4 linked regions of the Kluyveromyces lactis genome follow. The protein of the gene in region 2 purifies or fractionates together with the protein of the main gene of each other region. This does not show direct contact. Links are inferred from orthologs where the notes say so. Each region holds a gene or a part of one and is shown on either strand. Other genes may lie near its edges.

What was found.
Region 1: the proteins of CPR1 (region 2) and KLLA0_F02882g purify together in Saccharomyces cerevisiae (affinity purification with western blotting; 4 studies listed by BioGRID, with this or other methods). This does not show direct contact. The link is inferred for Kluyveromyces lactis from reciprocal best matches to the Saccharomyces cerevisiae genes CPR1 and SET3.
Region 3: the proteins of CPR1 (region 2) and SMT3 purify together in Saccharomyces cerevisiae (affinity purification with mass spectrometry; 3 studies listed by BioGRID, with this or other methods). This does not show direct contact. The link is inferred for Kluyveromyces lactis from reciprocal best matches to the Saccharomyces cerevisiae genes CPR1 and SMT3.
Region 4: the proteins of CPR1 (region 2) and HOS4 purify together in Saccharomyces cerevisiae (affinity purification with mass spectrometry; 4 studies listed by BioGRID). This does not show direct contact. The link is inferred for Kluyveromyces lactis from reciprocal best matches to the Saccharomyces cerevisiae genes CPR1 and HOS4.

The regions. Positions count from the first base shown.
Region 1 is NC_006042.1:265,073-274,168, forward strand, and holds KLLA0_F02882g (uncharacterized protein), read left to right. Parts: upstream 1-4,089; coding exon 4,090-6,480; downstream 6,481-9,096. Other genes in the region: protein kinase IME2, read left to right, coding at 1-1,524; KLLA0_F02860g (NAD(P)/FAD-dependent oxidoreductase), read left to right, coding at 2,028-3,329; putative GTPase MTG1, read right to left, coding at 6,765-7,922; KTI12 (Kti12p), read left to right, coding at 8,121-9,096.
Region 2 is NC_006040.1:1,412,422-1,419,603, forward strand, and holds CPR1 (peptidylprolyl isomerase CPR1), read right to left. Parts: upstream 3,253-7,182; coding exon 2,764-3,252; downstream 1-2,763. Other genes in the region: GIR2 (Gir2p), read left to right, coding at 1-772; ENT5 (Ent5p), read right to left, coding at 1,086-2,285; DNA-directed RNA polymerase I subunit RPA14, read left to right, coding at 3,726-4,205; HOM2 (aspartate-semialdehyde dehydrogenase), read left to right, coding at 4,674-5,768; RKM5 (S-adenosylmethionine-dependent methyltransferase), read left to right, coding at 5,962-6,930; SAC3 (Sac3p), read left to right, coding at 7,127-7,182. UniProt on the Saccharomyces cerevisiae protein: PPIases accelerate the folding of proteins. It catalyzes the cis-trans isomerization of proline imidic peptide bonds in oligopeptides. Involved in histone deacetylase complexes, suggesting a function in chromatin.
Region 3 is NC_006039.1:124,128-130,924, reverse strand, and holds SMT3 (SUMO family protein SMT3), read right to left. Parts: upstream 3,984-6,797; coding exon 3,702-3,983; downstream 1-3,701. Other genes in the region: KLLA0_C01650g (uncharacterized protein), read right to left, coding at 1-2,806; KLLA0_C01606g (amino acid transporter AGP1), read left to right, coding at 5,578-6,797. UniProt on the Saccharomyces cerevisiae protein: Not known; suppressor of MIF2 mutations.
Region 4 is NC_006042.1:339,603-348,474, forward strand, and holds HOS4 (Hos4p), read left to right. Parts: upstream 1-3,167; coding exon 3,168-6,050; downstream 6,051-8,872. Other genes in the region: VAC7 (Vac7p), read left to right, coding at 1-903; KLLA0_F03597g (dual specificity protein phosphatase family protein), read left to right, coding at 1,724-2,806; KLLA0_F03641g (cytochrome c oxidase subunit IV family protein), read left to right, coding at 6,653-6,653, 7,158-7,609; HPM1 (protein-histidine N-methyltransferase), read left to right, coding at 8,535-8,872. UniProt on the Saccharomyces cerevisiae protein: Unknown. Component of the Set3C complex, which is required to repress early/middle sporulation genes during meiosis.

The sequences.
Region 1 (9,096 bases), on a different chromosome or scaffold from region 2:
TATAGGTCACCAGAAATTCTTCTTAGAAAAGGATACTATTCCAAACCGTTGGATATTTGGGCGTATGGTTGTGTTGTTGTCGAACTAGCCACCTTTTCACCACTATTTCCCGGTTCTGACGAAACCGATCAAATATGGAGGATTCTAGATTTATTGGGCTCCCCAGATCATTCTATCAATGGAAAGGAGCACTTTGGGGGTTCATGGCTGGATTCAAAACCATTATACCAAGCTTTGAACTATGAATTCCCATACGTAGAAGGGAAAACGATAAGGGATGTTCTACCAAACCCACAATTGGAAGATCTATATGATGTGGTTACATCTTGCCTAAAGTGGAATCCAAGTGAAAGGGCTACTGCAAACGAAATATGTGCATTGCCATACTTCAAGGAATACGTGATGAGAGAAGCATCTTTGGCAAAGACAAATAACGGAACCGCATCCAAAAATAAGGATAATACAGCTTTGGCAAATAAACTTGCAGCAAATCCATCAATATCAAACCAATGGAGTCGTATTCTTTCTGGACTACCACATAACCCGGAATTGGGCATTGTTCCTAGTTTTAACTCTCCACAGAAGTTACCAAAGGTTCAAAAGAACAATCAAATGAATTGTGTAACAGATAAAAGCCAACAGCAACCGCGAAGAGGAGGAGTTGCCTCATGGTTCAAATTTTCCACGCAGAAAAACCACGTTAACATCAATCCAAATACAAACAATGATGAGAAAATCCTTACTAGTGTTAACACGAATACAAATAGCCAGAAGAATCAAGGAATTGTAGAAAAAAAACAGCAGGAACAACAGGTAAATGCTCACAACGAGAGGCTAGATAGCTCTACAAACGCTAATGGTAACAGTATTCCTGATATAAATCTCATAGGACATGCCAACAATGATAATGAGGTATTCACTATTGAGCTGGATGATAGCATGGAGACTATGACAGGATCTGATCAAATTTCTAAGGAATTAAATGACAAAATAGAGCTTTATCAAGACACCACAAATCAGATGAACCCACCAACTCTGGATGTTGATGACGATGACGATGAACATGATTCGATTGACATGGACCATGAGAATTATAGGATTCAGGTGTTGGACGAATTTGATACTGATGAGAACTTGGAACATGAAATTAGAGCGACCGACAAAGATGAAAACAATGAAGTTGCCGTTGATAAGATGAAGATCTCCAATCAAGGAGAAGACGAAGATGATGCAGATAGTCTTCTAAACTATTATCAGGATATGATGGCTAAGAAATTACCACTTAACAAAAACAAAGGTAATTACATGCATTCGAATGGACCAGCGGGTCCTACACTATCAGATCAAATGGCAATAGACGATTCACTTGATCTACAAGAACAGATCCCAAGAAATCTGCTGGAGAGGGCAGTACAGCAAAGAGTTTTAGATTGTCTTTTAGATCCATCGGAACATGCATCTCAAAACCTGATTCAAACCTCTAACTCCCACAATCATACATTCCAAGATGGATTAAGTTTCTGATCGTAGAACAAAGAACAGCAGGCTGTTCCTCTCTTTCAGTTCTACTCGTTGAAATTTCTTTCAACAACGCTTTACCTGGTCCTCTTCCCATTCATTTATACCGTTTATAATATCCACACACACACACACACATATTCACCTTTTGTACCTGCTAGCTCATAAGTTTTAACATAACTTGCTTCTATTATTTCCTTTATAACTTGTTGGATACAGGACAGAAATGCCGACAACTCTTTCACTCTATAACATGGTACTTCTACTTGATTTACCTCTTATGTACACTATTATCCTTACTGTCTTTGTTTACTATCTCAAGTTTTTTTTTTTTTTCTTGGTAAACTGTTCCTATCAGCTCCGAGGTCCGATGATTCAAAATCTTTCGAGCCATCAACTTTACATTGTACTTCAAAGTCTTTATAAAGAAGAACTTCGGTTAAGAAAGAACATAGATAATATATTCAACTATACAGCTTTCCTCACATTAGACAGGCAGCGAACCGGAAATGTCCAATTATGATGTTGTCATTGTTGGCGCGGGTATATTTGGATTAAGTACTGCTGTGCAATTGGCTCGTTCCAAATATAAAGTTGTGGTGGTTGATAAGTTTCAAATTCCATCGCAGTTAAGTGCGTCCTGTGATTATAATAAAATTGTTAGACTAGAGTACAACGATGAAGTCTACGCTGCACTAGCAGTGGAAGCAATGGGATACTGGCACGGTGAAAGTGACAAATTTTTGCCTCGAGGAATGCTGCATGATTGTTACTCTCATTGTGGTAGATTGAGTGCAATTCAAGATAAGAATACAAGCAGATATGCTTTCGATAATGACAGTTTACAACTTCTACAAACAAAGTTTAATAAGTGTAAAACTGTGGAACTACATAAAGAGTTAACTTGTGGTGGTAAGTTCCCTCAGTTTTCTCATAGTCAACGCTACGATGAGATTCGTTACAATCCAGACTGTGGTATTGGTTTGGCTAGGGATTCACTAGTGACCATGAAAAATTATGCTGAATCATTAGGCGTCGTATTTCATGAAAATGATGGAGCCGTGAGTGTGTCAGCGGGCACTGTTCAATGTGAATCTGGCAGAAAATTCCTTGGACACAAAATTATTGTTGCATGTGGTGCTAATACTGTATCACTTCTGCCTATGTATGGTCAGATCAGGGCTACTGGGTTATATGTAGGCCATATTCAACTGACGGACAAAGAATATCAAAAGTTAAAGGATATTCCAGTGGTCTTCAACAGTAGCTTAGGATATCTGTTCCCTCCAGATAAGCACACCAGGATATTGAAGATTTGCACTAGTGCGATGTCTGCATATGATGATATGAGCAACAAATCAAGAGCGGTCTATCGGGCCCTACAGCCCGATGCGGCACCCAGTGTACCAATAGAGGCAGTCGTGCGTATAAGAACAGTACTAGGTAAATATCTACCGGATCTAGTCTTCGATACCAAAAGAAAGTCAAAGTTAAGGGATATCATTGATTGTAAGATATGCTGGATCAGTGACACATCAAATTCTGACTTCATTATAGACATGATCCCCGACCTGAAAAACGTGTATGTATGTTGTGGAGACTCGGGACATGCTTACAAGTTTCTTCCTAACATCGGAAGCTACGTACAGCAGAAAATAGAAGGAAGATTAGCACCAATACTGGCACACAAGTGGAGGTACAGGGAAAGTGATTGGAACGGTACGGAAATCGAATGGAGAGTAGAACCCGAAAAGAAAGCATTACAAGAAATAGAATGGTACCAAGAAAGTTACGGCACCCCAAGACTGTAACCTTTCCGGCAATTGATATTATGCAGCAACAGAGTAATATATTGCATGGCAATTGTGGATCTGTTGGCAGTAAACCGGTATTTAAATATAAGTAATAAAGAAAAAGAAAAAGTATCTACAGCTTGGTACATGTAGTAGTAACACAATCTTGCGTTCAGCGATATGTTCACCCACAGCTTTGCGTTAAACGAAAACGGTACTGCTACTAACCGTGCTTTTGCACCTTGTTTATTGTTTACAACTCATCGGCTCTTCATTATTCAAGGTACGACATTTTTCACCGTTTAACGACAAAATTTTGAAAATCAACAACATTAACTATCTTTCTAAAAATTGACAAACGAAGGATGAATAAACATGTTAATAAGGAACGAAACGAAACGACCAGCCCAGACATATTGAGTGTCTAATTAGCTCTCGTCAATAAGGTACTCGCACATATCTCTTTCACGAAGTAACCGTTGGCAAACTTGATAGAACAGCTGTACGAGGATCAGAAAGGGCCGTTTAATTTTTCCTGTTGGGTTTGATTCAGAACGTATAGACTGTTTTAGCTGTGCTTTCTATACTTCGATAGCTCGGACAACAAGCATACTAGGCCCTGAAAACAGGGATCCCTTTTAAGATAAAGAAGGGTATATAAGTATATCAAGCTGGGCAAGTTAGGACATCTTTATTAATATTAAGGTACCGACTTTTCATTCAATTTCAAATATTCAAATCAAATACCGCAATACAAGAAGGAAATATACAGTAAACGATGACGGATGGTACTATAGAACATGCTCAGGACCAGTCGTTAATAGACGATGCCTCCACTTTGTTGATGTTCTCTAAAACATCGAATTCAAACGTCAACTCGAGCGATGAGGGTAAAGACGAGTTAAAAGCCGATATACATACACACAAAATGACACCAACTCCTTCCGCTGGAACTGCAAGTCAGGTCGGAAGTCAAGCTGGTAGTCACAGTGGGAGCGCTGGTGATATAAGTATGCATATGAATCCCATGACATCACCGGGCCCTGCATCTGTGGCACTTATCAAAGATGATGATGACGATGATCATCTAAAAGGCAGTCCCGTTGACAATGGTATTCATCGCAGCAACTCAAATAGCGAAAAGACAAAGAAAAGCGGGAATAAGAAGGGTATGGTTGCGGCTGCTGCGTTAGCACAAGCAGCTACGATGCCACTACCTCTTAAACGAAAAGCAGAAAACGATAGAAAACCTGCTGCGAACAACAGCGTGCCAATGCCTAGATCAGGTGCCGAGGAAAAATCTCCTTCAAAGCAAGCAAAGAGCGAAGATAAAGTGGTGGAACAAGAAGATAGTTTCAAAGAAGCTGTAGAGGAACAAAAACTTGAAAAATCTGAAACGGATAGGTTTTCTTCGGTTCCCGAATCTTATGTTGTTGATCCAGATGCTGGTATAATAACGTGCATCTGTGGCTATGAAGATGATGATGGATTTACTATACAATGCGACCATTGTTTCCGTTGGCAACATGCTATATGCTATGGAATTGAACATGAAAAAGATGCCCCAGATGACTTTCTGTGCAACATCTGCAATTCTAGGTTTGTAGATGTAAAGCTAGCAAAGAAGAAACAACAAGAAAGGATCAGAAATGCTCAGAATAAGAAGCGTAGACGCACGGCAAATGGCAACATAAAAGAGGTGAAGACAAAAGAGGCCACGTCTGGTACGAAAGACTCACGGAATCCAGGTACTTCTGAAGCGACGGACCATCGTATAGAACCAGAGGCCATTCCATCCGCAGATCCTCTTACGAACATTGTTTTAATAAATGCTAAAGAAGCTTATCCTACAGTGTATCTCCCTTTGACTTCAAATGATTACAAAGATAAATACGTTGAACTTTTCGTAAAAGACCACGCTGATGACGACTGGGTTATACCTTATCATAAATTAACGTTCAAACCTATTCCGATTGAAATTAAACCATATTCTGACAGTAATCACTCAAGATTGTTCCCTGGATACCCCAAGTTAGCTGTATACTTGAAGCAAGGATGTGATGAAGGAGACTACATCGATGAATTCTTAGGAGAGATTGATTTCCAAAGGAAATACTTAGAAGATCCAAGAAATAACTATAGAGTCTGGGGAACTGCAAAACCTAAAGTCATTATTCATCCCCACTGGCCGATTTATATTGATGCCAGGTTAAGTGGAAATTTAACGAGATACTTGAGACGATCATGCAATCCCAATGTTGAACTAGTCACAATCAAATTGACTAATTCCAATAACCAGGATGAGATAAAGTTCGTTCTTAGAGCTCTAAGATTCATTGATAAAGGTGAAGAACTTCACATCAAATGGGACTGGGACCTGAGACATCCAATATGGAAGTTAATAAATCATAATGAGAGCATAGATTCCATTGAAGAGCCACAAAGGTATCTTTTCATACATTCCATAGACACCATTCTAGGAAGTTGTGATTGTGCCTGTGGAAGTAATAGTAAAGATTGTTACTTGCTGAAAATCAAACGCCATTCTCAATCACTCTATAGATCAGTCAAATCAAAAATGAATAATCGATACAAGCTTAACGAAATATTACACGGAAACAAATTGCAAACCAAAAAACAGTCATCTATTCTCAGTAAATTAGCGCATGCCACAATCTCAGACGCAGCAAGGGCCAATGAATTTCTACTTAAATTCAATGCCGTTAAGCTAAAGATGTTAGAACCGGTCTCTGACACTGTACAGAAGAAGTCTTTCCATACGAACGCTGGGAGTATCAGAGGGAACAAATACAGGGTTTCAGTGACGGAGTCCAAAAACAGGGTTGACCCCCTTAAAGAAAGTCTTTCATTCATTTCAGATCCTTCTAAGTTCGATGAATCACAGATTAAACACCCAGCCGATCTTCCTATTCCCATACAGACAATAAGTACTGAAGATAACCCTCCAACTGACACCACCATAACAAATATAACCGAAACTATATCAAACCAAGGACAAACTAGTGTCACTTCCGATTCTAATAGCATTAAAAATTCGTTGAAGCGTGGAATAGACAGCGTTCCCGGCCCTTCGTCTACTATCCACCAAGCTCAGATGAAAAAGAAATTATCGTTTGCTGATTATAAGAAAAAAATCAAACCTGCTTAACGGATGACTTCCTTGGTATCGAAACCTTCATTAGCACGCAAACTTTTTTTTCAGTTCGGGATGTACCTATAGGTAGTCAGCGGTGGTAATAAACGGGGAGAGTGTACTTAACAATTTAGCCTCCTTCTCATAAAATGAACTTTTTTTTGCGAGTTATTTAGGAATTTGGACGGTGGGTTCGATTTGCTTTATCGATATATGTTGGAAAACTAGTCTATACTTTTCTATTATTTATTTACATTGTTTATAATTAACCAAGAACTGACTACTTCTTAGGTATTCTCTCAGAAAAGCGTATTTGCCTTAGATAAATGCTTTTCTCTTTTGTTGAGTAAGGGTTGGGATAAAACATCCCAACCTTTGAGAATTTCAAGTTCTTCTTGCATAGTTTTCTTGTATTGAAAGTTTTCCAAAATGGGTTCCAACTCGAATAGAGCTGGAGTAGCTTTAGAGGACTTCTTAGAACCAGATCTTAACCCAGATTTTAAAACTCTACCTTGTCTCCAAGAATCTGTCCAATAGATGGCTGCAGCATTCTCGTTTGTCATTCCTACTTGCTTTTTGAGGCCACTCAACAAAATGTCAATGTTGTTAGTAGGGGTTGTAGTGTAGTGTGTGTAGAATTGATATTTTCCCTGTAGGTTCAAAAGATACAACAGAAAATCTGCTTGAATCACAGGGTCCACTAGATTGTTTTTAACGCACCCACATAAACTGAGTGATAGCATTCTTTGCTTGCTCATTGCTTTGGCAGGTAAAGATATTCCAGGCGTATCATATAGAAACAACCCTCCTTTATAATCACTGATTCTGATACATTCACTAGTGTTCCTGGTGACACCTGCCTGATCACCTGTCTTCGCAACCTTCTTGGGTTTGCTTCCATCCGAATGATCCAAGCCTGCATATCCAGTAAATCTTAAACTATTAACGAGTGTTGATTTCCCAACATTAGGCATGCCGCCAATTAGCATTCTATAACCCAGTGGTAGTCCCACAGTCTTCTTCCCCGGATCATTTTTCTGGAGAAACTTATCATACTTCCATTTTAATATATGTAAGAGATCTTTAGCGCCCTTTTTGCTTCTTCCATCTATCATGATATATTGTTCGTCCATTTCCTTATGCCATTTATTTAATGATGCAATAATAGCAGGATCGCATTGATCAGTTTTGGTGTAAACTACTAGTCTGTCAACTTTCTTTTCTAAGGACAAGTAATCGAATATGAGGTTCCTAGTGGCTATTGGAGCCCGGCTGTCTCGAAGTTCAACTAGAAGATTAAGCTGAGGAAGGAGATTTTGAGCTCTTTGTATAGCTTTCTTTTGATGTCCTTTGAAGTCACTTGTTGGTATATTGAAATCTGGGAATACCATTCTTGGTACAAATGTAGACTGCAGCCGTCTACCTGAGTATTTGACACATTTTACCGAAACGTTCATATCTTCCAATACAGTAAGTTTGTGAACAACTATTACAGTTAATGGAGTTGTCGTTAATGTTTATGACAAAGAAGTAATCAGTAGTTTGTCAACTTTCTTTTGGTGAATCATGATAGGTGATCATTAAAGCTTCTTTCAACATGAGAATTACTTTTTACTGCGTTCAGAACAAGAACTTTGAAAATACTCGATGAGCTCATGAAAAGAGGAAAAACTCAATCATTGTTTCAGACTTTGCAGCAACGTCTAGTGAACTTAGAACCTCTTGACTGTACAGCAATGCCCTTGGTTTTACTAACTGGTTTTCCGAGTAGCGGTAAAACAACTGTGGCCAAGAAACTCGTCACGTTACTACAGGAAACTATCGATTCCAACGATAAACTGTCAAACTATTCTGTTGTATACCATTCAGATGAAACCTTAAACATATCTCACGATGATTATATTGGGTCAAATGAAGAAAGAAGGGCAAGATCTAAGATTATGTCTGTGGTGAAGAGAGATCTTTCTCGTCAGAAAGTCGTCATTGTTGATTCGTTGAATTACATAAAAGGATTCCGGTATCAATTGCACTGTGAAGTGAAAAACGTGATGACAACGTATTGTTTGATCCACACGGTATGCCCAATGAGCAACTTGGTTGAATGGAATGAGAAAGAGACTGATTTGCATAAACCTTGGGAAAGCAATTTTTTGAATGCTCTTATTCAAAGGTATGAAGAACCAAACCCTCAAACAAGGTGGGATTCTCCATTATTCACTATATTGACGTCTCAAGATGACATCAGTACCCTATACACAGATATTAGTAAGGCAATATTCCCAACCGTGTTCAAACCGGCAACGAATGATAGAGATACTGAGAAGATCCTGCAACAATTAAAGCCAAACAATGCCACGATATTGAAGGCTGCCTCTCACACTAACTCTTTGCAAATACTTGACTCCGAGGCCAGTAGTGTCATAAAGATTATAATGAAATATATGCAGCAAAATGTGGTCAGTGGTGGCACTTCAAGAATAATTCTTACTCCTGAGAATACTGATTTAAACGATCCAAACTGTCTTTATGTCGATCTCTCACTACAAAATTGCTCCATGCCTCAATTACAAAGAATAAAACGTCAATTTGTTGCAATGAATAGATTAAGAAACTTAGAGCAAGATAGAGTAA
Region 2 (7,182 bases):
TGAGATTCTAGAGTCGATCTATCCAGATGAATTTACTGTTCTGAACTCTGAGTACCCAGAGATCGAATTACAAATTGATATCAAATTGGACCCCGTACCCTTGGATGATTCTTCATACACCGTGGATTCGATAACTAATGATCATATTTTGCATACTATTTTTACTCTACCAGAAAATTACCCCGATGAAGCACCTCTAATTAAGATTATGCCGGAAGAAGTGCCAAAATTCGACAGAGATGATGAAGATGTGGATGACGAGGACGATGAAGATAAGGACGAAATTGAATACGATGACCATGGTAACCCGATAGTATCAAAATTCGAAAATATACCTGATAAAATCCATTTCGATGAATTTATACCGCAATGTATCGAGAAATTGAATGAACAAATCCAAGAAGATATGCTTCTTGGGATGCAGATGTGCTTCGCTTTGATTTCCAACATCAAAGACTACGCCGAACAGTGGTTCCAAGAAAAGCTAAGTGAACTGGAGAAAGAACATGATAGGTTGCTGCTGGAACGTGAAAAGGAGGAACAGAAAAAGTTCAGAGGTACTAAAGTGACAAGAGAATCATACATCGAATGGAGAGCCAAGTTTAGGAAAGAACTGGGGTTGGACGAAAGAGACGCCCAGAGACGTCTTGCTGCCCACCAGGGGAGACTTTCTGGTAGACAGATCTTCGAACAAGGACTTGCTGGCGATGAGGATTTGGATGAGGAGAATGAATCTTTGATCTCAGAAGGTGTAAAAGCCATAGCAGTTTAAATTCTCCATATTTTTATAACACTTCTAATGATTGATTTCATAATATGGCATCACTTTAAACCTTAGACTAAGCATAGTTAATACACCTTCTCATTAATGAAGGTAAAAGTCTCACGGTGCAAGGTCAGGTAATTTTTTTCATATATTTACAGTATATAGATAAGAAAATTATGATAATAATAATAGTAGGGGTTGTGAGTTCTAGTTGTAAGAATATAAAATATGACAAGTCCCACTAGCCATGTGATAGTTAATGCTATTCAATCGAGGGAGCCTCTTGATTCGAATTGTTATGTTGATATACTTGGGAGTTTCATATTTGGTTTTTGGACATAGAGAATAGATCAGCAAAAGCATCGGATTTCGTGCTGGCGTTGTTATTGTTGGTCGCGGCTGGCGTCGTGGTGCTGCTAGATCCACCGAAATCTAGAAGATCATTCAATGTAGCATTATTATTAGAGGTTTTATTATTATTATTATTATTATTATTATCGTTACCAAAACTGTTAAAGTTACCAGATGCAGGTGGAACTGGACTTTTCTCACTTTGAAAATCACCAAATTCATCATCGTCATCATCTTCACCATCAACACCGAAGCTCTCGAATACGTTAGCATTATTGCTATTGTTGATTGAAGGAGAAGCAGGAGCTGGTGCATCATCGAAGTCCAATAGATCGATTTCTGGTTCCTGCGCGGAGACTTTTCTTTGATGTTCACTGTTACGGATTCTTTCTCGTAATAGCTCTCTTCTCTGTCTTCTCTGTTCGTCCACAGCAGACGATCTACGATCTCTGTGAGCCGTTGGAGTAGGTTCATATTCGAAGTCGTCCGAGTCATCAATGGTAGAAGACGATCCGGCGAAAGAGTCTGCATTGATGGAAATATCGTTATACAGAGATTCTGAGCGAGATCCGGCAGATCCGGCAACGATTTTTTGTGTATTTTCCGCGGTCTTGGAACGCTCGCGTTTCAAGTAAGAAGTATCCTCTATCAACTGGATGATATGTTCACATTTCTTCTTGATACCACGCTCATGTAATTCCATCTTCCCATCACTACTGAAATCAACACGATACTGCATCGTTTCCTTGGTTAAGATATGTTTATGTGCTTGTAAACAGGATAGCACTTGATCAGTCTCTTTGCCCCTATCTGACCTCATCAATAAATACTCTAACAAGACCAAACATTTCAACACAACTCTCCATTCGTTACCGTAATTCACGTACTGCTTTCTGGCCTTTTCGTACATGTTCTTAGGTCTTTTAGCCATATGATCGACTAATCTTTTCAAAGTATATTCAGTCATCAAAAACATTGAAACCTCATAACGATGTCTCATCACTTTAGCCAAATGTTTTGGAGTTGGACCCCAGGAATCGGTATTCGTAGCACGTCTAATATCGATCTGGTATGGTTCATACTGAACTATAACGTTCTGTGCAAATCTTGCAGCATTTCTGAAATCATGCAGACCCAAATTACCCAACTTTTTAGAAATAGAATCCATCCTTACTGATAAGATATAGCCTGTCCAGCGTGATCAATAGCGTACCACTGCAGATACAACGGGTTACCGCACTGAAATGACGAACGTATCCTCACTGATCATTAATCATGATCATTATTTTATGTTGAAAAGTCTTGTAAAGGTTGCGCTGATTGCAGAGGGCAGCTAAATTGGGAAATTTCAGGTGAGAAAAGGGAACAGGCCCGGGTAACCATTTTCATTGGGTAGCTACATTTGTTAATGGCCAAAGAGGAGAGATGATGATCTAGTCATAAACTTCCATTGATATAAAAGGGTGTTGTATATATGTATTTGAGTGTCTTCCATTACCAATTGAGTGAGATCAAATACACTCAATTAGTCAATGGGTTGTTATAGACATAAGTATATATATAGATATCCCGAGCGATTGAAGTGTGATAAAGGGAAGAAAAAAGGATTAAAATGAAAAAAAGAGTCAATTCCCTAGCTTATTTCCTTACAATTCACCAGACTTAGCGATAACAATTCTGGCCTTGGTAGCACCGGAACCGGAACCCAGGGATTCGACCTTCTTGACGACATCGAAACCATCAGCGACTTCACCGAACACGACGTGCTTACCATCCAACCATGGGCATGGAACAGTGGTGATGAAGAATTGAGAGCCGTTGGTGTTTGGACCAGCATTGGCCATGGACAACAAACCTGGCTTTTCGTGCTTCTTGACGAAGTTTTCGTCTGGGAACTTAGCACCGTAGATAGACTTACCACCGACACCAGTACCGTGAGTGAAGTCACCACCTTGCAACATGAAGTCTGGGATAACACGGTGGAAAACAGAGCCGGCGTAACCGAAACCCTTTTCACCAGTAGCTAGAGCTCTGAAGTTTTCAGTAGTCTTTGGAACAACATCGTTGTACAATTGGAAAACAATTCTACCCAATGGTTGACCGTCAGCTTCCACGTCGAAAAATACCTTAGACATTCTTAGTTTAGTTTAGTAGTTGATACTTGGTGTGTTGTAACCAAGATTTTGCAAACCAGAACAGAAGAGCAAGAACTGGACTTGAATTGGAATTGGATTGAAGTTGAATCAGAGTTCAATTGAGAAAGTGGTTGGTAGTTGCTAACAAAGGGTGGCGTTGGCTTCGCAAAATGGTATTAGGTGATGACATGCGGCCGGGTAACGAAAACGGAAACCCCATTATCTTACACATCAACCGCATTGTCGCCGCAAGTCACGTGACACACGTGACTTGCATATTTTGTTAACATCGCAAGGCACGGAGAAACATGCCTGAGTTACCCGTGCCTCAGCTGAAAAATTCTTCGAGAGACAAAACCTGAATCGAAATAATGCGATGAGATGAGATGAGATGAGATGAGATAGCCAAAGGTTGGGTAAATATATAGATGCTGATTTGATTCATCGCACTCCAACGAACAACCACGTATACCATGCTAAGGGGAACTAGAAGACCAGCAAACTCCACTTTGAACACGCCCGTTGTGGTACATACGGTGGGCACGCCAACATACCTATCTAAAGACGAAGTACTACAATTCCTAGCAAGTTTCATTGCCGAAAAGGAATCAGTACCAGGCGTGACACTAGCGTCAAGCGGAGCTTCTACAACCCAGGGAGCAGTAACTTCTGGTGGCATTAGTGCCGATGAAATGGCTCTAGATACACAGCTTTCCAGTGCTCTTGCGCAGCTGAAAAGAGTCGAAAGAGATTTCAAAGGTCTACCACCTCAAGTAATGGAGATGGAACCCTCCAGCACAAGTTCTACTGGTAATACAGAAGAAGATACGGTGGCTAAATCTGCTACTGGAGGGAAAAAGATCAAGTTTGCTGATGTGCCGGAATCTTCACAAACCTCCAGTGACAGCAAACAAACATCCTCATCCTCGGAATCGTCATCAGACTCTGAATAGACGGCTGATTTGCACTACCCACGAATCGGGAGGGTATTCATTCATTATATATATATATATATATATATATATACATACATACGCTAAGTTACATACAGTGACCGTTATAATCAATGCATAAGCTTGGAGCTCACCCTAATTGCAACATACCACGTGACTTCAAATACACAACTTTTTCTTTTCCAATGGGCTCACCTGCGGTTTCTTTCACACAGAGAGAGTGTGAGTCAGTTGGAATTTTTCGTCAAAGTGATATGACATCAGTTGAAAAGAATATCAACATTAACATCCGATTCCTTACTACCAGGTATATATTTGTACACACTTGTAGCATTCATCGTTGCTCTACTTTGCTTCTAATATACTTATCTCATTTTCTTGATCGTATTTATTCTAAAGCGATAAAGAGGATCTGAATCTTGCTTAGGAAGATTAAGAAAGAATCACTACTTATAATATACTATAACTATGGGTAAGAAAGTCGCTGGTGTCTTAGGAGCTACTGGTTCCGTTGGGCAAAGATTTATCTTGTTGTTAGCTGACCATCCAGATTTTGAATTGAAGGTTTTGGGTGCTTCTTCCAGATCTGCAGGTAAGAAGTATGTCGATGCTGTGAACTGGAAACAAACCGATTTGTTACCAGAATTTGCTAAGTCCATCATTGTTTCTGAATGTACCGCTGATGCCTTCAAGGACTGTGATGTTGTGTTCTCTGGTTTGGATGCTGACTATGCTGGTCCAATTGAGAAGGAATTCAAGGAACATGGGTTAGCTGTTATTTCTAATGCTAAGAACTACAGAAGAGAAGAAGATGTGCCATTAATCGTTCCAATCACCAACCCAGAACATTTGGATTTGGTTAACGCGAACTTGGTAAAGGCCAAGCAAGAAGGTAAGCCAAGACCTGGTTTTATTATTTGTATCTCAAACTGTTCTACTGCTGGTTTAGTGGCCCCATTGAAACCATTAGTTGAAAAATTCGGTCCTATTTCTCTATTGACCACTACCACTTTACAAGCCATTTCCGGGGCTGGTTTCTCTCCAGGTGTCCCAAGTATCGATATCTTAGATAACATCATCCCTTACATTGGCGGCGAAGAAGACAAGATCGAATGGGAGACCAAGAAGATCTTGGGTGCTTTGAGTCAAGATAAATCTCAAATTAACCTATTGAGCGATGACGAAATCAAGGTTTCTGCTCAATGTAACCGTGTTGCTGTCTCTGACGGTCACACTGAATGTATCTCTTTGAAGTTCAAGAACCAGCCAGCTCCATCTGTCGAAGAAGTAAAACAATGTCTAAGAGACTATGTCTGTGATGCTGCTAAGTTGGGATGCCATTCTGCGCCAAAACAAACCATCCATGTCTTGGAACAAAATGATAGACCACAACCAAGATTGGACAGAACAAGAGACAATGGTTACGGTGTATCTGTTGGTAGAGTCAGAGAAGATCCTGTATTGGACTTCAAAATGGTTGTATTGTCCCACAACACCGTTATCGGTGCTGCAGGTGCAGGTATCTTGATTGCCGAAATTCTATTAGCCAAGAACATCATCTAAACGCAAAATGATAATTCTTCCTGAAGCAAATTTGAAAGGCAGTTTCTAGTGCTCCGAATATTTTTGTTTCTTTCACGTAATCATGTATAACCAGATAAAATGTAATTCATAATTCATATTTCGTTACAGAATACCTACAATGGGCACTAATCCATTTCAGCGCAGAGCTTACTAAGATGACGATCTGTTTATCATGGAATTAGTACTGCTCGATGAAGAGACTTTATATGAGTACATTTTCGAACGATATGTGGAATTAGAGGCTAACGCAAACGATTTATCTCAAGATCTCGGTATTCTGTCGAGAAACGAATCAGAATTAGAGATAGACATTGGGCCACATCGCCTAGTGACCAGGAAAAAAAAAGCACCAGAAAGAGATGAGTATACATTTAGTATACACCAAAACCTAACCTCTTTAAATTCCAACCGTGATAATAATAACTCGACGACTGGATACGTCATTTGGACCACGTCTACTTTTATTCTCAAATGGTTATTATACAATGACAACGCTACCATATTCACAAGAGGGGGTGTAAAGGATGAGGTAGATATTACATCCATTTTTCAATGTCAGCAAGATGATAAACTACGATATGTCCTTGAACTGGGCACTGGAACATCACCAATGTTTCCTATTGTTTTCTCTAATTACGTTGATAAATATGTGGCCACTGATCAAAAGGACATCTTGCCTCGATTAAAAGATAACATCCAAGAAAACCAGTCAGAGTGTAGACGGAGACTGCTTAAATCCAACACAATTGCTTTAGATGATCTTAAGAGACGTACTGAGTTGGAATGTCAGATTGACATAGCGCTGTTAGATTGGGAACTGTTCTCAGGTAGCAAGAAATCTAGAAACGATCCCGTTCTTCAATGCGGACCGAACTTCCATCTGACTATAATCGCAATGGATGTAATATACAACGAATACTTAATTGTACCATTTTTAACCACTCTTGAGTCGTTATTCGTCTGGTATACCGAACAACGTGTAACGGTATCGGCATTGATCGGAATTCAACTTAGAACTCAAGATGTACTTGAAATGTTCCTCGAAGAGGCTATCATAGAGAGACAATTCATAGTGCACGCCGTCGATGAAAAAGAACTTAACAAGTCACGTTTCATACTCTTACACGTAAATTTGCCCTAGTTCATATACACTAGGAGGGCTTCTCTCTCTATAGATACCTTAATGCAGTTCTTCTGAACATACTGCCGTAGCATTAATTTTTAGCATTTGAAGATATAATGAAATACAAAGAATCATAACCCAAGTAAACTATTAACCATTATATAGATGTTGAGTTGAAAACAACTCCTGCACCAGTAGGCCGTGCATTGTAGCCATGTTAGGGTCAATGTTTGGGGGTTCCTCCATACCACCGTCTGCTGCACCCTTTAG
Region 3 (6,797 bases), on a different chromosome or scaffold from region 2:
TGAGCATTGTTTTGTGGGGCTTTTGTGTCTGATCGTTTGGCTGGTAAATGCCAAGCCCTAATGCTCCATTCTCGTCGGCTACGTCATGAGATACCTGCAATGGAGGTAACGACGGCAAGTTAATATCCTTATCATTAGTACTTTGTTTTCTGGCATCAGTAGATTCCTTTCTGGCGGCAGAAGCTAGTTTTCCTTCCTCTGTTTCTGGTACTTCGAACAGCTTAGAATTTTCATCAAGCTCTTCAACGGTCTCAAACATGAATTCTGGTTCCTGTGCAACCTTGGATGATGAGTATTCAGGTTGGCCAGGTAGAGGTTCAAGATAATTATCGTTCTTCAAATGATCCACAAGGTTCGTGAATGAAGTCTTAGTTGAATACAGTGACAATACAGAAAATCTTTTGTTAGAGGAAGAGAAATGTTTTGACCTCCTTGTAAATTGTGGAACTTTGACTTCTGAGAGCTTTCTGGGTTCAACTTCGTCATCTCTGAGAGTTGCAACTGCTTTAGCATTCTTGGGTAACTTTTGAACCTCGTACTTTGCAGTCTGTTCAGAGTACTTTCTCAATTGTTCTTGTCTCTCTTTAGATACTAAATCCTTTTGGGCTTTCTCTAATTCAACGTTCAAGTTAAATTGCGATCCAAGGAATTTGGAGCGTCTAATGGTTTCCAGAATAGTCTTTTCCTTTGACGCTTGGTCATCTTCTAGGTTAGCTGACAGTCTACTTTCAGCAGCTATGATACCAGGGTCAAGTCTGGAAACTGGTCTCGTTTGTAGAGAGAAGTTTCTTGTATTGATTAGTTCATTGATGTCATTCTTTATACCGAATGTACTATCTCTTTTGTTTGCAGTTCTATCGGTCTCTATCGGAGCAGAGACAGATCTTCCATTGGCTGTGTTTCTTTCATCCGAGCTCCCCTGAACAGCTTCATATTCCGCCTTGAGCTTAGCAATTTCGTCTTCCATTTGGTCTTGCAATTCCTTCTGTCTTTCAGCTCGCTTTCGTTCTTCTCTTTCAAGTCTTTCTTGCTCCTCCCGCTCGATCCTTTCCCGTTCCTTTCTTTCAGCTTCCTCCTTCTCACGAGCTTCGTTGACTTTTCTTTCCAACTCTTCCTTCTCTTTCCGTATTTGTTCGTATTTCTCATGCTCGAAAATCTGATCCATCAATGTAGCAAAGTCCTGACTTGTCCTTTTCGTTTCCTTTTCGATGTATTCCCATTCACTGTCTTCGGAAAGTTTTGCATACGTTGCAATCAGTTTCGTTGTTATAGATCCACGCTTCATATTAGGCAGTAGAGAGAATCTTTTGGATTGTCTCTTTGATTGTCTTTTGTAGTCACGAAGCATTTCTTTAGGGACGGGTGGAGCTGCACTATCGTTTATCCTGGAAACTCTTTTATGAGCAGCAGGGGTTGGAGAAGACGAATTGGAGACTAGCTGTGAAATTCTCTTGTTTGAAGGGAAAGTCTTACTCAAACGTTTACCTATTGAGCCGTTTTTCACTGGTGAGCTATGTTGGCTACTCAGTTTTTGCATTGATACAGGTCTTTTGTGAGAAGATGAGGCAACTATGATTGATGTTCTTTTCTTCTTTGGAGTGGTGACTGGGGAATCAGATTTATTAGGAGATGGTAAAGATCCAACGTACATCAGCGAATTCGAAGAGACAGATTGTTTCTTTTGTAATTCTTGTTGCTTCAATTGATCTTGGTAATTATCGTGTTTAAATCTATGCAGTAAAGCGTAAAAAGTCTTTTCTAAATTAGCACCAGGTTCCATCAACTTCGTAATAATGTCTTCCTTATTTCTACCATGCCATAGAACAACCAAATTCTGCAAAATAGTTTCATCTACGCATTGATTTCCTCCTTCTAATGATAGTGGATTCAAATAGGTATCTTCTCGAGGTAAGTTTCTAATGGATTTAGAGTCCTTAATGCTTGGGTATTTTCTTAGAAGTGGATGCTTTAGGATCTCTCTTGTCTTGATTCTTTGTTCTGGATCTACTGTTAAGATTCTGGCGATTAAATCTTGGGCTTCCGATGATATTTCATCATCTCCAGGCATTTCAAATTTCCCACTTTGAACCTTTAACAAGAGATTTCTGATATTGCCATCTTCTTCATCAAATGGCAACCTACCGGTCAGTAAAGCGTAAAGAATAACACCACATGACCAAACATCGGATTCAAAACCGTGATATGGCAAGCCCGAGACAATTTCGGGTGCCGCGTAATGAGGCGAACCACAACTAGTTTCCAGTAATTTATCTTTTGATTCTAGTGCTGCCATACCGAAATCGGCTAGTTTGACATTGAATTTATGGTCTAATAAAAGATTTTCAGGCTTCAAATCACGATGAACTATACCTAACGCATGGCAGTAAGAAATACCGATAATTATCTGTCTGAAAAATCTGACTGCCTCATTCTCAGGTAATGGGCCCCTTTCCACCAACAAGTTGAATAACTCACCTTTTTCAACGTACTCTAAAACCATATATAAATCTTTTGAAGTTTCCCAAACATCGTATAATCTCAAGACATTAGGATGATTCAACAACTTCATAATGATAATTTCACGTTCAATACCATAGGGTAAGACATCAGGATCGTTACCACCAATCATTGTCGACCCTTGAGCGTTGAATATTGATTTTGATATAATTTTCACAGCGGCTTGTTGTCCTTTAGTTTCATTATAGGCCATTACGACTTTACCTGTTGAGCCAACACCCAGTGTCGAGCCCAACTTCCACGGGCCAATTGTGTCACCCTTTAACGTCGTTATTCCGTTACCGTTCATTTCTGATATATTGTGATAGTATTGGCCAAGCTACAAGTTATAATGTTCCCCAGTCGCGTAAAGGTTTGAATGATAATTTCTTATGAGAATGAATGTGGTGTAATATATCGTTTTTATCAGAGTGAGATTCGCTTGCCTAGATAAATAACTCTCTATGTCTGATATCTGGTACCGTCTAGTGAATTCAATTGGTCGTGGTTGAAGATGGTTGAAGTGAATTGAAATTATTTTTTTCACGATAACTTTTATGGTTTAATCTACTTCCAGTTTTATGTGATGAGCCTTGTCTCAATTTCTCAGTATTTCCCTCAGGTACAATTTTCACCAAAGAAAAACACAATTAAACTTCACGTCTTGGTATATATGTATGCCAAATAACAATGGAAGAAAAAACCTACCAAATTCAAAACGAGTGTGGCAGAAAACTATTAACAAGACAGCTAATATTTCTTCCACTTCTGGTAAATTATTCTTTCTAAAATCATTTACTGTAACAGTTATACTAATTGAAAAGAATGTTCACCATACTAGGAAGGAAAATGACTTGAAAAAAAAAAGACCTAAAAACGCGAAACTTGAAGCAAACCTAGCTTTTCGAATCGAAATAGGAATACAAGGGTGGTAATTTGCAGGAGGTCTGTTATAAGCCCTGCCATTTGATACCCAATCTCTTTTTTCTTTCCATTCGGATTTCATTTCTAATTCCATACCGACTGTTTTCCCTGGGGAAATGCAGATAAGCTTGCGGGCACTTTTCTTGTTGTTCATCCAAAGTAGTTTTAATATTCCAGATACATAGTCAGTTATTATAACATTAGATAGGTTACATTGAAAGATAAAAAAGGATGGGAATGCTGTAGTTGATCCCACTTACTGCTGCAAAGTACACTCCCAATTACAAACTACCACCAATTTGCTCTCTGTGAGCTTCAATGATATCGTTATCTTCCATGTCCAAATCTTCAGGGGTCTGATCTGGTAACACACGCACACCGTCGTAAAGGAATCTTAGGGATTCAATCTCTTTACCTTGTCTCTTAGCAAATGCCTCCATTAATCTTTTTAATGGAGTGGTCTTTTTGATCTTGAAGAAGATCTCACTGGATCCATCCGAAACCTTCAAGTTAATATGTGTTTCTGGCTTAACATCCACCTTTTGTTCTTGTTCTTCTGACATTTCAAACTGTGGTTATATATATAGGCGTTGAAGAATGGAGAAACAGGATTCAATGAATGTTTAAAGACTCGCTTTTTCTTCTTCTAACTCTCGGCAGTATAGATTGAGCTTTTGTTTGTTAAGGTAATTTGTATTGTTGAACTAATTCCTGGCCAAAAAAAAAAAATACTGTAGTCCTGAAATTCGACTGTCAACTGACATGGAAAAGAGCTCTAACAAAAAGCAGTTTCCTTCTTCCTTTTGAGAGCATGAAAATGAGAAGTTAGGGGAGGGAAGGGTAACGACCCACAGGCACGTGATCTTTCACTCCTGCCCATTTTGTTTTGCTGTACTTGGCAAAAGGATTAATCGTAACCCGGCCATGGCCGGGTTACACTTAGCCGGAAGCCGGAAGTTTCCTTTTGCCAAGTACAGCAAAAAGATAAGACGCGTGCTACAGCGCGCAAATGCCCTGTAAATATAAATCACGAGGGCACTTTCCTTTCAGTTTTTTGGATAGAGCTTCAGTCCGTGTTGCATTGGATTTTTGTCGCCGAACGCTATCACCACCGCTCATTCGTTTGTTCCGATAAAGCTATAACTGTCTGGGCTATATTGGAACCTTAAACCCGTTCTCTCAAGTGCCATTAAACTAAAAGCACCGAGATTATTACCCTATCTTTCTTATAAAAAAAGAAATAGAACCTCCGTAGACCGTTTCTCTTAGCCCAATTTGGGTTTTCCACCTCGTTCCTTTTTATTTTAGTTTCAGTTTTCTATTTTGTCGCCCTTGCAGGTGATGGCTACATCCTCTACTGGAAGCTCCATCGAGAAATGGAAACTGCAGGACCATATTCTTTCATTGCTGCGGTATTAACTGGGTGAAGCTGATCATTTGAAAAAGAAATAGGAAGGTGTATGGGTTGTTCCAGGAATATTTAAGGCTCTTCTCTGGACAGCCCTTAGAATCCCGCGCCAGGGATTGTTCGAAAGTGGCGTATTGAATCTTTTTGTATGCAGTTTGCGGTCTTTTCTTTTGGTTCATGGCACAATCTTATTTTCTTTACTTTTTTTCATTCGCAGTAACGTTAAGAAGTGTGTCACAAGATGACGAGATGAGACGATGTAGCCATTGAGCGATCCAAGACTGGAGGTACTTTAGAAGCTGTTAGATGCGTAGCTTAGCCTCAGCCAAAGAGATGGCAATCGTATTCTGATTGCCTTTTCCCTCAGTTCCTTCCCCCACCTGCCCATGGTTAGTAAATTGGATGATTTGGTCCTGATAACTCAGAAATCACTCTAGTTAGTAGTTGGTAAGTAATATACTGATCGATTTAAGAATGAGATGATGTATTATAATGTTCCTAGTGATTATCTGGGACGCAATACATGACACCGAAAAGTAATGTTGGAGTCTTGGAATGTTTTCGGTGTGTGTTGATTTTCTTTTCAGCGATTTTATAATATAAATATATATATATATAAAAGTATATGTAGAGTGGTCGATTTCATTTTGCTATGTGGTTGTCACATATTCTCTGCAACCGTGGTCGTCCTTATTCTTTAAGAGTTCATATCTTCAAGAAGTATATGCTAGACTGCGTCAAATCTTACCATGACTGGTGCTACTGGATCTTCTAATTCAGACTTTATAAGTCCTGTTGGCAGTGACGTTAAACATAATGATAAATCAGATACTATAATACAATCAGAAGGGTTCCCAAGTATTGAAGGTGAAGCTGAATACTATGAGAAAACGTTCTCTCAATCGGACGAGGAGTACGCTGCAAAATCAAGTGTTTGGCATAGGTTTAAGGATTCCTTCAAGAGAGCCGATCATATTAATACGAATATACATGGAAATGCGGAATTGGAATTGAATCCATCACAGAGTCTCTTACCTGAGAAGGGTGCTAGCTTAAAGCGAGATATTAAACCAAGGCATGTTGTTATGATGTCTTTAGCTACAGGTATCGGTACTGGTCTACTTGTTGGTAACGGTAAGGCATTGGCTACCGGTGGACCGGCTGGTTTGACCATTGGTTATGCTATTATGGGTTCTTGCTTGTACAGTATTATTCAAGCTGCTGGTGAACTAGCAGTTGCATACCCAACTTTAACTGGTAATTTCAATAACTATCCTTCCTTTTTGGTGGACCCTGCTATGTGTTTCGCTACCGCTGCCCTTTACTGTATTCAATGGTTATGTGTGTTCCCATTAGAAGTGATTTCTGCGGCCATTACCATCAAATATTGGAATACCAGCATAAATCCTAATGTTTGGTGTGTTATATTTTACGTTATGATCATCGGAATTAACATGTGTGGTTCCGCTGGTTATGCTGAAGCCGATTTCTTTTTCAACACTTGTAAAATTTTAATGTTTGCAGGTTTCTTCATCTTGGGTATCATCATCAACTGTGGTGGTGCAGGTGACTCAGTTTATATCGGTGGTAAATATTGGAACGACCCTGGTGCCTTCAACGGTGACACTGGTATTAGTAGATTCAAGGCTATTGTTTCTACTTTGGTTACTGCTGCATTTGCTTTTGGTGCATCAGAAGCCGTTGCTTTAACTGCCAGTGAACAAGCTAACCCAAGAAAAGCTATTCCAAGTGCTGCTAAGCAAGTGTTGTACAGAATTATTGCCATCTACTTGGCTAGTATCATTCTAGTTGGGTTTTTAGTTCCTTATAACTCCCCTGAATTGATGGGTTCAGGTAGTTCTTCTGTCCATTCTTCTCCTTATGTGATTGCTGTTGCATCGCATGGTGTCAAAGTTGTCCCATCATTCATCAATGCAGTCATCTTAATCTCAGTGTTATCTGTAGGTAA
Region 4 (8,872 bases), on a different chromosome or scaffold from region 2:
GGATTTTTCTACGGAGATCCGAATAATGCAGAGAGATCAAATGAAGGAAAGGGACTTGGTTCGTCCCAATTACCTTATTTCAATCAAGCCAGTGAGTATACTCCTTTGAAGAATAAAAGAGTGAGCAGGAAAAGATCTGATTTCTACGGTGATTTTTCTCCCCACAACTTTTACACCAAGAAGGGTTCATGGTCTAAGTTTAAAAATTTCGTTTACTTCTCTTTCATCGTGGCCTCCCTATTGACTCTTGGATTCATTTCTGGATTCCTACTGGCAACCAACAAAGAATTACACGATTTCCAATTGTTGGCCATGGATAACGTTCTAGTTTCGTTGGATGAATTAGTATTCGATATCACAGCGACTGCGTTTAATCCAAGTCTCTTCACTATTGGTATAAAAGACGTGGAACTAGATATATTTGCTAAGACTAAGCACGTTGACGTTAGTTCAAATGAAGACAAGTTATATTCAACTCCATACCAAACCATACTACTCGGGACAGTATACAATCTCGAAAGTGAACTACAATTTAGAGGAAGATTGATCAACAGAAATTATGATGTTTCTGTTGCCAGTGTTAAATTGCTCAATCCTGGTGCACCTAAAAATAATGGTGATGATGAAGACGGGGATAATGACGATGACGACGATGATAATGGTAACAAAAAGAAAATGGGCCACGATAACCAAGATGAAAAGGGCAATCACAAACTAGAGAATGATATTGACCGTTGGAAAGAATTGATCAAATATGAATTCGAATTGATCGTCAGAGGAAACATGTATTACAGTATCCCATTCTTTAACAACCAGAAAGTACTCCCAGTACAACAGCAAATTTCTGTAGATCCAGACAACTCACCTTTCAGAAAAAAGCATGGAAATAACCATGCGCAATAGAATATAAAGGCCATTTTTTAGTCTGCCAGAAGCTTGTTTAAGTCAGACACCAAGATAACTCATCGGAAAACTTCAACCTTGGCCTTACTTAGTTTTTACAATGTCTTGTAGTATGCCACAGCAACTAATTTGCTTGTAATTATATATAATGATAACAATAAGATATACTTAAAGTACCACAAACTGTATTTTTCATGGCCGAGTTATAAGCCTTAAGTGACCCCAGCAACATCTGCATCAAGAATGTTATTTATTTACTTCTTTTTTTAGGACCTACCTGTGTCCCCAAGAAAAAGTAAAAAAAGCAGAAATGTTGAAATACTAAGCACAAGAAGTAAACTTGAAACAAGGTACCGAAACAGAGCTAAAAGTTCATTTGTCTGTTTTTATCGTCAAATAAATCAACTGCTGTAGGTCCACAAGTTATCATTGTTATTGGCATAGATTTAAACCTTCGAATTGCACGCCGGTGGGTTTTCCTCGACTTACCACACACACATTCAAGGCGGCAGAGGGGATATTTTGAACATATTAACGGGGAACGATTGTGAGATCTTAGCTACTACATTAGAGGATATTTGAGAAAAGCTTGTACAGCAATTTATTGAAATTATTGAATATTGTGTTACTTCAAAGATATAGGAAAACTAAAGCTGGTACTTGATTATTTCCCTAGACGCTGGTAACCCATAAGAAAACCGTTCTTATCTCATCTTGAATTCCTGGCCAAAGAAATTCGGTAAGAAACTTATTTGGTTATAATTATATTAAACATTTGATCATACTTGCAAGTCCTTTTCAATACCCAACACCGAGCGATATGGAGGCACCGCAGAGAATAAGTACAAGGTCACATCATTCGATGCAAAATAAAAATTCAAAGAACCTTTGTCTTCGAATAGGTGATTCCCCAACGAAAAACAAACTAATAATGGTGGATTCAAAACCAAATGAAAGCAATGATACTTTCGCAGTGCCATTGCGCCACCAGCTTACTAAACGTGTAAGTGAAGCACAGATATACACTTTACCGCCACAGCTTAAATCTGCCAGATCCACACCCTCTACACCACAATTACCGTCTGGCAGTTCGGGCTTTGATTCAGCCGCTTCACCCTCATCGTCTACGTCTTCCTCGCCTTTCAATAAACCAACACTTCCAACAATCAACACCAAATTTCACAATAGGCCGAGGGCCACGACAATTGCGACAAGTGTACCTCAGATACAGACGCCCAGTAATGATTCAATGGAAAGCACGACACGGTATTGGGTTCTTCAAGAAAATACGCCCATGTCCTCTACAAATTATGATAATGATATGAAGAGCATCCCATACAATACCCATTCTGATGAAGACTCACCGAGCTATTCAGAATCATACAGAGAGAAATATTATCCCAGTGGACCGTTACTTGTCGTCCCTCCTTTCATATATTTGTATTCTGAACCATCATTAAAAGAAGTAATGGATTACGACGTAATAATAAACGTTGCAAAGGAGATTACCAACTACAAGGAACAACTGCCTCTATCCAAGCAAGGTTGCTATTATCATTTTACTTGGTCTCATACCTCACAAATTACTAAAAACCTACCACAACTAACAGAACTAATACAGAATGCCTATGCCAGCAAAAAAAAGGTGCTAATCCACTGTCAATGTGGAGTATCAAGATCAGCTTCCTTGATAGTAGCTTACATGATGAGATACGACAAATTAAGCTTGAATGAAGCATATAATAAATTGAAGTCTGTCGCCAGAGAAATAAGTCCAAATATGAGTTTGTTATTCCAACTAATGGAATGGGAAGATTGGCTTAACAATTGTGACTCAATCAATGATAACTGTCGGAAACAGTCATTCGAGTCCATCTCGGAATTCGGTGAACTCTCTCTGTGAGATTGTATGATATAAAACGCAATTTTAGGGATACCCATACAAAGTATATAGTAGCCTAAACACTACTCTGTAATAATACGCCGCGGATCTTCTGTTTGGGCAAACTATCAAAACGTACCAAGTGATAATTCTGTTCTTAAAAACATTAAACTTTTGAAGGTTTCTAAGTTATGATATAAGGTAAATAAAGCTGGTGACAAGGGAGAATAATGCAAAGAAACCATTAGATAATACTGTCCTCCCACTTATTATACTTCGGACTTTACGTTACTCGAAGGATTCATTCAGAAGAGTGCGAATTATGGAAAATCAGAGGCCATTCATAACTTTCAAACCTTTCTGAAAAAACCGAGTAATAACCATGAGCGAACCTGTCAAAAAAAGAAGCTTGGGCAGTTATCTATCTCGTCTCGAAGAGAGAAGAGAAGAACGAGAAAGATCAGAGCAACAGCAGCGAGAAAGTCCTAAGCCAGTGGGTGAAAATGGGAATTATTCTGTTACCAATGTTCCAGTAAAGGAGGAAGAGGTATCTCAAAAGGTAACTTCAACTGATCAGAACAGTACAAAACAACCATCAGACGAACCCTATGTCGTTAGCCAAGCAAACAGCTCTGACCAGAAAGTTGGATCTCCTTTGAATAATCAAGAGTCAATACCGGTGAGACAAGCGGAAACGAAAGGACCTATTAATGAAATAAAACAGGAAACGGATGTAGAAGAAAAGAAAAATCTACCGAAAGTAGGGAGAAATAAGCATTCTGACGAAGAATATAGTAGTGCACTCAGTGAAGTTGAAAGTGACGCACCGACAGAGCCTGCATCGCCACCAAGACCAAAAATGGGGAGACTAATACGAGGTGATCAACTTGAAAGCGGAAACAACAGTCGACAATCAAGTGCTCCAGTATTGACAAATGATGGGGAATCCGATTCTGATCTTTCCGATTTAGATGAGGCTCGTACAGCTAAAATATCAAGCAGTGCGATTCACGAAGATTCCTCTCCGGTGAAACATTATAATGAACACAAGCGCAAATCCTCTAGTATAGAAAACTCCTCCAATCACAAGAAGCAAAAACATTCTGCCGGGAAAAAGATACCGAAGACTAAGCGTGGAGTACATAGGGATGCCGGAGGCAGGACAAAACTACAAATTGCTTGTGATAAAGGCAAATATGATTTGGCAAAAAAACTTATTGAAGAAGACGGCTATGACGTTAACGACCAAGACAACGCTGGAAATACGCCACTACACGAAGCAGCTCTAAATGGTCATTCAGCAATTGTCGAGTTGCTCGTAAGAAATGGAGCTAATGTTAATATTCAATCATATGATATGTTTCTAGATACGCCTCTTATTGATGCTTCCGCGAATGGCCACATAAATGTTGTAAAATATCTTCTAGATCACGGAGCAGATCCAACAATGGTAAATGCCAAAGGTCTAAGTGCAATTGAATCTATTGAGGAGGAATCAGACATGGATAATGATGATAGAAGAATAGTGCACGATATGAAAGATATGTTAAAGAGAGCAACGAGGAAATATATAAAACATTCCCATCGCACCTTACAGTCTAGTTCCATGTCAAGACATTCAGATGATATAGACAAACAACTCAACCATGATGACGACTTTTATTGGACTGATATCAGTTCAAAATTGGGTAAAAACAAGCTTTTGAAAGCTTCCAAAGAGGGGAAATTAGCATACGTCGGTTCGTACCTTGAAAACGGTGGTAGACCTGATTTCAGATGTTTCCTTGAGAGTTGCATATATGGTCATGATGACGTAGTAAGTTTATTTTTAGCCTTTGGCGCACAAGTTAATATGAGTAACAAAGAAGGTCAAACTCCGTTGATGCTATCTGTCGGGCGTGGACATGTCAACGTCGTGAAACTTTTACTCGAAGCCGGGGCGGATCCACAGAAAACTGACAAACGAAAGAAAACTGCCTTGCATTATGCTAACCACAGCTCTCTTGGTCTAACGGATCCTGATGAAGTGAATTTACTCAAAGCAGCGGTGAGGGCAAAATATGGATACGAAGTTTCAAACAACAGCGATGAAGAGGGGGAGGAAGATTCTGAAGGGAAATCTCCTTCACCTAGAGAAATATCGTCAATTCCATCCACCAAAGGAGAAGAGCAAGATCGTTCTTTGGAAATTCGTAAAGATGATAGTCCTTATCATTCAGAACCACAATCTAAAATCGGAAATATCAATGAGGAAAAGCCAAAATTATTACCTGATTCTCAAACGACAGCAGAAACTGCTTCCCTAGTCAGGCCAAGTCTAGAGAGACTAGACTCAACAAAATCAACATCTTCAACATCATTAACTCATCGTTATAAAAGTGCATCTCCTACACATCAACTATCCACTCCGCCTATTCTTCCGAAAGAAAGCGAAGAAGAGAGAGCCGCAAGGTTGAAGAGCGAAGAAGAGTACAGGCAAAAGAGACTGCAACAGAAGAAAAGGAAAGAACAGGAATTCTTAAACAGATTAGCTGAAGATGAACGGAAGAGAGTAGAAGAGAAGGAGAAATTGAAGCAACAGGAGGAACAGAGGCTAGAACAGGCCAAGAAAGAGGAACTATTAAAAGAAGAAGAACTTCGAAACAGAAACGAAGTAGAAAAAAGATTAAAGATCAGAGAGCGTTATCCAATTGGATTGAGAGTCATTGATTTCAAAGATCTTGAGAATTACGATAAATTTGGGCCTGTGTACTACTTCACTGAAGATGGATCAAAATGGGTGCTAGATCTTCAAATAAGTGTCATTATCAAATCCAGCACCGAAGAGTTAAAGAAACAATCATCAGAATTTAAAGAAGTGGAAAAGGGTCAGTACCCACAACTATGGAATCTTTTCAAATTCATCTTCTTATATGGCGGCAGCGATAATGCAAACAACTCGAAGTCCTTGCCCTGGAGGCAATTGTCGGAAATTGACCAAACAGAGTATGTAAAATTCTATGAACTCCCACTAACATGGATTAAACTATCGCGATTGAACCTGCAAGATTTAAACCCAAAGATGAATGACTGGATTGAAAAAAATATGATAGAATTTATCCCGGCATCTACATCTGCCTTGTACAGAACAAGAAAGGTCCTTTTACGTGATAGCAAAAGACCTGGCCAAAACGAAAATAATGCTAACACACGCTTTGTCCCTGCCAAATATCAATCACGCTCCAAAATGTTACCATGGTTGAATGCCTCCAAAGCGCTTTGGTAGGGTCATTATACATAGCATAAGAAGCTTAACACTGTAACAATACATAAGAAAAGATAGAAGAAGAACGTCTTCCTCGGAAAATAGAAGTCACGTGGATTTTATATACACGTGACTCGGACCTTTGCAGATGATTTTCCACGCCCTTCATTCATCACTTCCCCAACCCGTACTATGCGACTGTCTTTCCGGGAACATGATTGGCCAGAGTCTGATTTAGTAACGTTAAATCCGAAAAAAAGTTCCATCTCGTATGAAATGACCTAAAACACACCATCATATCATAAACCTTCGATTCTCCTTCGAGATAAACAATAGAGTAGAAAAAAAAACTGTTACCAGCCATTTTTCTTCGAAGCGTTTTCTTGTTAGCGTTTTTTTTTTCGGCCCACTTCCGTTGGTGCTATTCACCTTTTATAATGGAGAAACATGAAAAAAAAAGCTGTAAATTTTTCATATAATTTAAATAAAAGATAAAATATAAAGCTGATTTTAGCTAGTTTCACAGATTTGAACATTGTTTTGGTATAGTTTCTCTAATTTATTCCAAGGGTTTTCTTGTTTGATATTAGTATTCACAACTAGCGGCCAAAGATTTTATAAAGAGTATGTGCACCGTAAGACGTAACATAATCAGGGGATTGCGAATGGGAATTTTCAATAAGGAACAAATGCGAACTGGAGTTTCCGGAGATAATGGATAAAATCATAAGAAGAACGATTTAAGAGATGTTCTAATTATCATCCCGATGAATAAGGTGGTATAGTCATACCTGATCAGGTTTAAAGTTTTAAATGGATTGGTTGTTTTTTAGTGGATTTGGTTCCTATAAGGGTTTTTATCCATTATCTGTATTTGGTCATGGAGAAAGAAATGGCATTTTGAGAATTCAACATAATAATGATTGTAACTCAGCTGTAAAAGAAGGGATCATGTTTTTCAAGACCAGAATTGATATTTAAACTCTTACTTATTCCACTTGCAATTATCGTCTGATTTTTTTCAGTACAAAGAATCTTATTTTTACTAACAACGATTAAACTGGAAAATGATGGGAAAAATATGTTTTTTCCTTATTGAATCATTTTCAATGTTATTATTACCAACAGTGTTGCGTTCCTCCGTTTCTAGAGTTGCCCGTGTCACTCCTGTCAGATTTGCTCAAACACAAGCCCTATCTAAGGCATCTATCGTCGATTTACCAAACAGATGGGAAGACTTGCCAGCTACTGAACAACAAGATATTGTCCTAAAGCTAGCTGAACGTCAAAAGCTACCATGGACTGAGTTGACTAATGTTGAAAAGCAAGCTGCTTGGTACATTTCTTACGGTGCTTGGGGTCCAAGAAGACCAGTGCACGGTAAGGGTGATGCTGCTTTCATTGCCAAGGGTGTTGCTGCTGGTTTGATTGCCTCTTTGCTAATCTTCGCTGGTATAAGACAACTATCTGGTGATCCACCAAAGACTATGACCAAGGAATGGCAATTAAAGTCTGATGAATATTTGAAGTCCAAGAATGCTAACCCATGGGGTGGTTACTCTCAAGTTCAATCCAAATAATTGTGATTTCTTCTACAGTATAGAATGCATTTTCTCCCTCTCTTCTATTCAGTTTATTTCTATTCTCTACAAACAACAAGAACAAAAAAAAGACACACAGTCGATACTCACCTTCATGATATAGGAGAAGTTCAAACTCTTTCTATTTCCAACTTTTTGAATGGGTTGCGGGTTTTTTTGCGTTTTGTTGAAATTGCAAAACAAGAGCTTTCTTCGGAAGCCTAAACTTGTCCTTTCGCCGTGATTTTGAGAACCACCACACGTTAGAGAATCGAATTTATTTAATATTATTTTATTAACGAAGAATAACATATCCTTCTATCACCATTAAATTAATTCACAATTAAGAATAAAAATCATACCAAACATTTGAATTTGAACCCTATGAAATAGGACTTCTTAGTATCAACATCAAGTTTTAAAAAAATTGAATCCAAAAATTTACACAAACAATATCCAAAGCCAAAAATTAATGATTTATAAACGGACACTTATTTAAATTTGAGAATCATTTCACGTATTCTCTTTACGTTTCATTTATTTTATCGAAATCAATTAAATACATTATTCTATCATTCTGAATTCGAGAATTCTTTTCTTATCCAGGAAAGATTCATTAACATTCTCACTTCGAACTATCAATCCAACAGAAAACCCTTAGCTATTTAAATTTGACTAGAGAAAGGCTGTTTCAAAGTTATAAGCATTTCAACGCACGGTATGTAACAGGCCGTTTATTCTACTAGCATCTGGCTCAAAGCTTGAGAAGGACGATCGCTGACAGGATCACAAACAGGAAACGAAAAGAAAAAATTGAAAATGAAAAATTCAATACAGAAAGCGCATCTCATCTCAACGCATATATTTGGCCAATAGAGGAAATTACTTACAGAGGAAGACACATGTCCTCATAACCCCGATAATAATGTCCTTTGCATTTGGCTTCTCTAACGAAGATTTCAGTGATGATGAACTAGATATTGCCAATCAAAATACAGATGATAAGCCATCTACTTCTGTCCCTCGAATCAATCCATTGGATTCCGAAGTGTTACTAGGAGAATCAGTGAATCAACCCAAATATATTGATCTGGATGATCTACTACGTTCACTCGCGAATGTCCGTCTATCTTTTGAAGAAGTGCAAACTCCAACAACAAACTCTGTTCTTTACAGACGTGAACTATTTGACGTTAAACATCAATTGATGTCAGAAGTGGATTCAGGCACAAATAATGTTGAATTGGAGATTTTGATGGGTGA